Coturnix japonica: one gene and its partner. Each later gene encodes a partner of the first gene's protein in a complex. Links are inferred from orthologs where the notes say so. Each region holds a gene or a part of one and is shown on either strand. Other genes may lie near its edges. The genes, in order: RHEB and PDE6D.

Region 1 (4,281 bases):
GATGCTTTTGTCAGTATTTCTAAGCAGACATTAGAGAAAGATGATCTTTGTCGAATCCATGAGGGGCCAGGGACAAGTGTGGGATGGAACTGAGTGTACTTTCTAACCTCAGTGGGCAGCCATACATATGGGAGCACACCCAGTGCTAACATTGGGTGCAGTTCAAATAGCTCCTCCAGTAGGTGCTGGTTGGCCAGAGGATCGAGCAGGTAATTAAAGTGCTAATTGCTTTTATAGGAACTGAATGTACAAGCCAGATGTGTTTTGCATTTGGAACTTGAGTAGCGCTGTGTCCATGGGTTCGTATGCACTGAATTGCCATAAAAACATTGAACTGCTGGGTTACGTTTCCTAGAGGAAATTCATCGCAGACACAGGCAACAAAAGGCCGATGCTTTCCCATTTCTCAGCCTCAACATCTGTTCCTGATCTCAGTGTATATACACGCTCTATTTGTGCCGGCACTCTTTGTTTTGGAACCCAGACCATTGCATTCGTTGACCGCATCTGTTGGGATGTCGTTTATAATAAAACGATTATAACTCACCAACGATTGGTTGTACTGGTGTCAGTCACTCATTGCAGCGTTCTCTGAACTCCTTTGTAGCTCACAGGGTAAAACACTCTAGGAATGAAGATGCTGGATTAGCACTGGGGAGGGGCAAAGGGGAAGCCCTATTGCTAATGCTGCTGCTGGGAAGCCACAACCTCAGCACGGCAGGAAAGCACTAAGACTTATCCCAAGTAGAAGTGCTATGATACAGGTTACTTAGCCATGGAGATCCTGTAACTCACAGGGTTATAGGGCAGGAGATCCCGTAATCCACAGGGTTATAGGGCAGGAGATCCCGTAACCCACAGGGTTGTAGGGCAGGAGATCCCGTAACCCACAGGGTTATAGGGCAGGTGGGATGGGGTCTCTGGGCGGCCTGATCTGGGGGCTGAGGTACCATTTGTGAACCATGGCAGGGCATTGCAGCTGGGTGATCTCCATGAAGCCTATAAGATGGTCCCATGGCACTAGTAGAGGTTCATGTTGAGGTTAGGACTAACTCCTTCCTGTGGAGGACAGTCACACTGAGGTGATCCCGCCCCGCTCAGCCCCTCACACCCCACAACCCAACCGCCGTCTGGAGGCGCACCACGGCGCACGCGCGGCTTTTAACCCCCATCCAACCAATCCCCTCCCACGCATCCCCTTAGCCCCGCCTCCTTTCTTTGAAAACCGATCTCATCCAATCCCCGCCCTCTAACCGCGAGCAACTGCCCAATCAGCGCCCGGCGGGGCGTGAGGTGGGCCGGCATGACGCAGCGGGTTTGTGCAGCCGGCAGTCGGCGCGGTGTTGGCGGTGGGGGCGGTCGGTCGGTCCGTGCTGCGCTGCGGCCTGTGACGCGTGACGCACCGCTACGTGAGGGGACGGGCGCTGCCGCCGCGGGTTCCGCGCTCTCGGCCCATCGATCGCCGCCGCCCTCCAACCCCCCCCCCCCCCCCCCCCCCCCCCCATAACAACAACCAGCGCCGCATGAGGCTGACGGCGCACACGCAGCCTCCCGCCGCCCTCCGCCTCTTCTTCGTCCGCCTCCTCCCTTGATGTGGTTCGTGGCCGGGCGGGGGACAAGATGCCGCCGTCCAAATCCCGTAAGATCGCGATCCTGGGCTACAGGAGCGTAGGTGAGTGTTAAGGGGGGGGAGACGAAATGGGAACGGGTGGGTGGGTGGGTGGCAGGTGCAGGGCTGGGCCGGGCCCCGCGCAGTGCGGCCGGGAGGCGCCATGGCGGCGCCGCAGAGCGCTGCGGGCCCGGGAGCCAACGTGAGACTGTGCCCTTAATTGGACAGGGGACGGCACCGGGACGGGGGGGGGGAACAGCGGGGTGTACGGAGCTTTGTGCCCGTTTCCTCTGTCTGTAGACGTGTAGGATGAACGTACGGAGCGCTGCGGTGCCGGGATCGGGAGTGACTGAGTGGTGCGGTCGATACGGTGGAGGGAACGGGTGACATTCAGAGGGACCTCGACAGGCTGGAAAGCTGGGCTCGGGGGTTATGTTGAACCTAATGAGGTTCAACACTGTTTTGCAGTTGGGCAGGAAGAACCCCAGGCACCTGTACAGGCTGGGAGGAGTTGTCCTTGAGAGCAGCTCGGCAGAGAAGGACCTGGGGGTCCTGATGGACGAGAGACTCAACATGAGCCAGCAGTGCGCTCTGGCAGCCCGGAAAGCAAATGGGATCCTGGGCTCCATCAGGAGAGGGGTGGTCAGCAGGGATAGGGAGGTGATCGTCCCTCTCTACTCGGCTCTTGTGAGGCTCCATCTGTTGTACTGTGTCCAGGTGTGGAGCCCTCAGTACAAAAAAGACATGGGAGATTTTGGAAAGGGTCCAGAGGAGGGACAGGAAGATGATCAGGGGGCTGGAGCACCTCCCCTATGAGGACAGGCTGAGGGAGTTGGGTTTGTTCAGCCTGGAGAAGAGAAGGTTGCGGGGTGACCTCATTGCAGCCTTTCAATACCTGAAGGGAACTTACACCCAGGAGGGGAGTAAACTCTTGGAAAGGGCTGACAATAGCAGGACACGGGGAAATGGTTTTAAGTTAAAAGAGGGAAGATTTAGGTTGGATGTTAGGGGGAAGTTCTTCACTAGGAGAGTGGTTAGGCCATGGAACAGGCTGCCCAGGGAGGTTGTGGATGCCCCGTCCTGGGAGGTGTTCAAGACCAGGTTGGACGGGGCCCTGGGCAACCTGATCTAGTAAAGGTGTATGTTTGGTGGCCCTGCCAGGCAGGGGGGTTGGAACTACATGATCCTTGAGGTCCCTTCCAACCCGGGTCATTCTGTGATTCTGTGATCGTACGGCAACACTGAAGGAAAGAACTTCCCGGCGCCATCCAAGCCGGGAGCTGCTCTACAGCCCCACCAGATTCAGCGTCGTGGGGCACGAATGGAGCGGTGCGGCTCGGCATCGATCTGACTTAAAAGCGTAGATCGATGGGAAGGATAACGAGTGGCTGGGAAATAAACTGCTGTAGGAAGGTGCCGCTGTGCTGCTGAAGGGTTTGTGCTGTGAGTGGTGTGTCTGCGGTCGCACACTCAGCATCCGTAACAACGCCTTTTGCTTTTCCCAAGATTAAAAAAGGTTACATGAGTTGTTTAGATGCTGTGTGTGTAGCAGCAGCCTGGCTTCAAGGCTGGATAAACAGTGCTGTGTCTGTATGGTGCTGGAAGGGAGCAGCCTGCAGGAGGTTGGTGGTTCACATGGGGTGTCTAATACGGCACAGTCAGCCTCGGAGCTTGTCTCCTTATGTTTTCTTCTCCGAGTCCGGACTCAAACAAGCACTGGGCAGTGTGTGTGGGTAGGAGGAACGCTGTCAATTCAGTACATTGGATGGTCCAGGGGTAGATGATCCATTGAGCCTGACAGCACACATTGCACATAGCCATTATTAATGCCATTGCTGGTGTGACCCAGGATGATTTGGTGCTTGTATAGAAGGAGGTGAGCAGAAAGTTGCCTCCTGCCCATTAGGGTTTACTACTGTGCTCCTTCACCTGCAGCTTCATGAGACTGATGTGGTTTGGGGCTCTGTGGGACATGGTCTGTTCCATTAGGACAACTGCTTGTTGTAGACATACAGAAGAGAAGTAATAGTTTGCCTTTCATTAACCATGACAACTCTGTTGCCTTGCTTGTTCTTAGGTATAAATCTTGCATGTTTAAGCCACAGAGTTAAGTATGGGAGCTTTACGTTTCTAGGCAAATATTTACATAAAAGATCCAGCAATAGACGTGAGCTGTTGGGTGTTCTGTCATGTAGGGCTGTCAGATAAACAAGAAACATAGAGCATGACATGAAGTCAACCCAAGGATGCCTTGCAAAGTCCAGGAGAATTAACAGCATGGTTTGGCTTCAGATAGACTTATAGGTAAGTCTGATATCACGATGGCATGAATTCCACTTGAACCCTGGGTAAAAGACAGGATCCCATCCCAGATGAAATAAGGGATGTTACATTTGAACAGAGCTAGTTTTTGTCGGGGTGGGGGATAATTAATTCCAAGATCTGAAGGGCTGCTGAAGGCTTCTGAGCTTCCTTTTATAAATAGGGAACTGCCATTAACCTTAACGTTAGCTTTGACCCTGCAGTCTGGGAGGCTGCTCTGTTACACCGTGAAATGTTTCCAGCTCTGTGCCTTGAGTGAATGCTGAGGTGACCTGGGCTGTGGGGTTGGGTGATCTTATCATTTGCATATACAGCATGAGATTAGAAAATGGCGACCTTTTCTCCATTCT
Region 2 (4,545 bases), on another chromosome or scaffold:
CTTAAATGGAAGTTCATTAAGGAAAGTTACCCTATGCTGGTAAGTGCCTAGTTGGCATTTACCTAGGGTTAACATTCTGATGCTCTTCTGTGAAAGAGCAAATAATACAGGTGATATCTTGCCTGAATTGTAAGTTTTAAAATAGAAAATGGGTATGTTTACTTAGTACCTTAACCATGCTACAAGAGTCAGCTGGCTTTGCTGAACTCCTTTCTCCTTGCTGGTTAGAGATCAATTAAAACACCACTCTGCAGTTTGATGGAGAAACTGCCCCAGTTCAGGAGGAAGCTACAGAGGGAGTGACAGAGCACAGAGCAGAGTCAGACCGAATGCACTTGAGATTACAGGACCAGCTGTGTATAAAAGCTTGTGGAAATGAAGCTCAGTAATTACTGATGCTTTCCTTTGGAATATTAGCTAACTGAACTGGTATTACTTATGGACAAGCAACTAGAATGTATTCTCAGAGTGCCAGACCACCAAGATGCTGTATTTTAAGCAGCATCCTTAGAACAGTGAGTTGATGAATGTACCTGAGAGGTCTGATAACAAGTACTGTCTCTTAGGAAGTGACAAGCTATAGAAGATCTTGATGGTTGCTTTCCATCTCTTATCGTAACACATTAACTACGCTGTTGGTGTTTAGTTTACTGGTGCCATAAAAAAATCCTAGTGTAATAAAGTGGGAAACCTCTTTTGTCTGCAAGTATCAAATATTTCTCCTTTCGGTTTTCATCTTCTTAAGTAACAAAGTCTATGGGAAGAGGGAGTAAAATACCCTGGTCTGAATTTGACGCTAGCCACAACATGCTTCTGTGCTAGTGTCATAAAGGAAGGGAAGCATATCTTGGTGCTAAGTCAGAGGGTGGATTTAGGCTGTAATTTAATGTGCACAGCAGCATGTCCCAATCAGCTTGAAAGCCTGTAGTTAGTCTCTTCTCAGAAACCACAAATGAACAGACTTTAGTTGAGGGTGCTCCAGTACTCAATGCAAACTCCATTTCCAAAGTGTGTGTTCTTGCATTCAAGTGAGAAAACTGATTCCTCAGTGATGCCCTCTACCAAATAAACCTACCTTGGATATACTTATTTCTTTTTATGCCATACCTAAAGTACTGCTGTGATGGCTTCTGGTGCTAACAGCAAGTTTGCAGGGTGTGCTCCTTCCTTCTTGGGAGGAGGAAGAAGTTCAAGTACTCCAAATATAAACCTGAGAGCTTCCCGGAGGATGTTTCTCTCTTCCTTTCTTATTGAGGGCACCAAGTTAACACATACTTCAGCACAGGGAGCAGAAGATAAAGCATCTCTTTCAAATGTACTGTTTTAGAATACACACTGTCAAAAAAAGGAAGCCTGAGCTGGTGGCTGCCTTACAGAGAATGAGGCCACATCTGGGCACGAACTGCTTCCTGTGTGGATGCTGTGGTGTCTCAGGGCTTTCTCTCATAAATGAGGAATGCCTGCTCTGTCACTTTCCTTCTAATACTTGCATATTATTCAACTATCTCAACTCAAGAAATCCCATCTATGCAATACATCGATAAATACTTTCCTGATTTTCCAATCTGAGCTATTGAGGTTTACCTTTAACACCAGGTCAAGAAACATTTTCTATTTAAGTTACCAAACAATGGAAGTGATTTTTCATCCATAGCTGGACACAGACCTTCATTCAGATTCTGCTTCTGGCAAAGCACGTGCACAAACCAGTAGAAACAAACACGTGAAAGTCTGTACCTTAAGTTTAACTCTCCAACCCTTCTCATCTCTACCAAAAGCTCAGTCTCATCTTGTCAGGAGCTTATGCTTTTCCTAATTACTCGCACAAAACACGCTTAAATTGTGTTTTGACAGCCAAAATCTTACAGCTCCACAAACAAAAAGAACTGTCAATATTACCAGTGCAGAAGCAAAGGAACCAGCTGCAGAACTAAAAGCTGGGGGGGAGGGGACAGTGATTCATAAGTTCAGCAAAGCATCTGCCAATAGTTTGATAGCAGCTGAATCCAACTGAGTAACTCAGATTCTGCTGCAGCTGGCACAGAGATTAGCAGCACCTCGCTGGCCAAAAATATGCTCAGGAATAACAGCATTGGAGCAAGAGGGGTATTCACTTTGGTTCTGTCCTTTCATTCGCTTTGGTTCTGTCCTTTCATTCGCTTTGGTTCTGTCCTTTCATTCGCTTTGGTTCTGTCCTTTCATTCACTTTGGTTCTGTCCTTTCCATTATGGGGGGAAAAAAAATACAGCCACTGGTTTTCTTGCCCCTTAAGGCCAAGCTGGCACCTGCCCACTATGCGCAGTAGAATCTGCTACGGTAAAATCAGCTGTACACATCTCCCACCCTTACACACACACAGACCTATGCGCTGAGCCGTCATTCCCCCCCCCCATCCCCAAGGTTGCAAGGCCGCACTCAGGACCCTCCGCTCCCACTTCTGCTTCACTGCACCGGCGTTAAACTGGTGCTCGCCCAGCACGCCAAGCGACAAGGCGCAAACTTTCATCGCGTACCGCAGACAGACGCGTTAACAACCGGACTCGGGCAGCGCTGACGCCTCAGGGCCCGGCACGACGCAGCAGTGCCCGCTCGGAGCCCCGCGCTGCCCCCGGCCCAGCGCCCAGAGGGACGGACCCGCAACGCGAGGCCGAGAGGGGGACGCGACACAACAGCCCCGTGTGTGGCAGAGCTGCCATGACAACCGCCCTCACACAGGGAAACCCCGGTACCCAGCCACCCCCCCCCTTTTCCCCCAGCCCCGCCCGCCCCCCCCTCGCTCCCCCTCGGTGAGGATACAGCTTGAAGCCCCTCAGGATCTCCTTGGCCCGCTCGTCCGTGGCCGACATGGTCCTGCCGCGCCGCGCCGCGGGCTGGGCGGGCTGAGCGGGCTGTCCTGGCTGCGCGGGGCCTGGCCGGGAGCGGCGCTGACAGCGGCGCCTCACGACCCCCCGCCCCGCCCCCTCGCACTCCCTCGCACCCGCCACCGGCCGAGGCAGCCAATCCCAGCGGCCGCTCTCCCCGCCCCGACGGGACAACCAATCGCGAGCCGCCGACGCCCCTGCTGGTTGATGAAGGACAGCGGGATGGACCAATCGGACGGCGCGTCCTCCCCCTCCGTTGATATAAGGGCGGCTGCGCAGCTTGTTAAGGCGCTGGGCCCGGCCGGGGCTGAGTGACGTCGGCGGGGACGGGAGGCGGCGCGGGACAAACCTCGCCCGGCCCCATTGGGGACGCGTGTCCGGTGCCGGCCGTTCGTTAATACGTTAACACGGCTTATAACAGTCTGCGTGCGGGACGACAACTGGGGGCTCCGCGTACACTGCCACAGAGCTCCTCAACAGCACTGCCACGCTGAGGAGAGAGAACCGCGAGGCGTCGAACATACGAGGGCACAGCCTATGAGTGCCATTAACGGCACAGCCTATGAGTGCCATTAACGGCACAGCCTATGAGTGCCATTAAGGCTGGCGGTGGGCAGCGCTGACCGCCCCGTTAGCTGACATGGAGCAGCCTTGTTGTGTTCTGGATAGCCCGGCGTTACCCAGTGCGTCCAGAGAAGGGCAGAGAACGCTCCCGAAGAAAAGCTGGCAGGGAGACAGGGAGAGCGCAGGCAGCAGCAGAGCTGGAGAAGGCCAGAGCGAGCGGTTGTGTGTGAGGGAGAAGCCTGCGGGGCAGAAGTACAGCATGCTGCTCTACCCACAGCACAGGGGGCTCCGAACCGCCCCGCTTAGGGCTACAGGGAGGTGGCAGCCAGACAGAAGCGGCTCTCGCAGCGAGCAACGGCAGCGAAGGGCTCCTGACACGAGAGTGTGCCCTGATGTCGGTGTTGGGGCCTTTGTGGTTCTGACATGGGTGCCCAAACTCTCCACGCTGTGTGAGGAGGTACGTGCTTGGCAGCCTCTGCGTCTCAGCTTCAAAAACCACCCATTTCCCCTCCTAAAACTAGGGAAGAAGCGTGTGGTGGGACAGTGTAACTCAGGAGGTTCAGGTTGGATATCATGAATAGGTTCTTCAATTAGAGGTTGGTTGGGTGCTGGAGTTCAAAAAGCACCCGCGCAGTGCTGTCAAACACATGATCTGAGTGGTTCTATGTGGAACCAGGAGTTGGGTTCAGTGGTTTTTATGGGTCTCTTCTAGTTTAGGATATTCTGTGATTCAGAGTGACAGAAACCTTGAGTTCTTTCCTCTCAAAATACTTTCTCTTGCAAGAAAATTGCAGCAAGTCTCACTATTCCCTTGAACCATTTTGTTCTAAAAACCTCACCTTTGCTTTTACACCTCTGGCAGGCATCACAGTCTCTGAGCTGTCACTGCAGGTGAGGAGACACCTCCAGCCTCCTTTCTGCCTCCCCAAAGCACATTGCAATGCTCTTCTCCAAAGGTACTGCTACAAGAGCTTGTGTCCCAGGGAGACGGGCTCATAAGCTGAGGTCTTCTCCCATCTGACACTTGATGGAAGGGGTCAAACAACTGCATATGTGCCACCATCCAGATGTGTCTTTCTCATGGTCTGCGTGAAGTGAGAGATGGTTAGCCTCTGGATCC

Evidence for each region.
Region 2: the proteins of RHEB (region 1) and PDE6D are in contact, whole or in part, in a crystal structure (PDB 3T5G), measured with the Homo sapiens proteins. The link is inferred for Coturnix japonica from reciprocal best matches to the Homo sapiens genes RHEB and PDE6D. Residues at the interface, in NP_005605.1 of Homo sapiens: Pro2, Gln3, Ser4, Gln57, Asp77, Gln176, Gly177, Lys178, Ser179, Ser180, Cys181; in NP_002592.1 of Homo sapiens: Ile53, Leu54, Cys56, Val59, Val80, Gln85, Cys86, Leu87, Glu88, Glu89, Trp90, Ile109, Glu110, Ala111, Ala112, Pro113, Gln116, Met117, Met118, Leu123, Tyr149.

What each region holds. Positions count from the first base shown.
Region 1 is NC_029517.1:5,599,625-5,603,905, reverse strand, and holds the start of RHEB (GTP-binding protein Rheb), read left to right. Parts: upstream 1-1,330; 5' UTR 1,331-1,620; coding exon 1,621-1,672; intron 1,673-4,281. UniProt on the Homo sapiens protein: Small GTPase that acts as an allosteric activator of the canonical mTORC1 complex, an evolutionarily conserved central nutrient sensor that stimulates anabolic reactions and macromolecule biosynthesis to promote cellular biomass generation and growth.
Region 2 is NC_029524.1:13,401,674-13,406,218, forward strand, and holds the start of PDE6D (retinal rod rhodopsin-sensitive cGMP 3',5'-cyclic phosphodiesterase subunit delta), read right to left. Parts: upstream 2,964-4,545; 5' UTR 2,847-2,963; coding exon 2,797-2,846; intron 1,235-2,796; exon of another isoform or gene 1-1,234. Other genes in the region: COPS7B (COP9 signalosome complex subunit 7b), read left to right, coding at 3,502-3,882. UniProt on the Homo sapiens protein: Promotes the release of prenylated target proteins from cellular membranes. Modulates the activity of prenylated or palmitoylated Ras family members by regulating their subcellular location.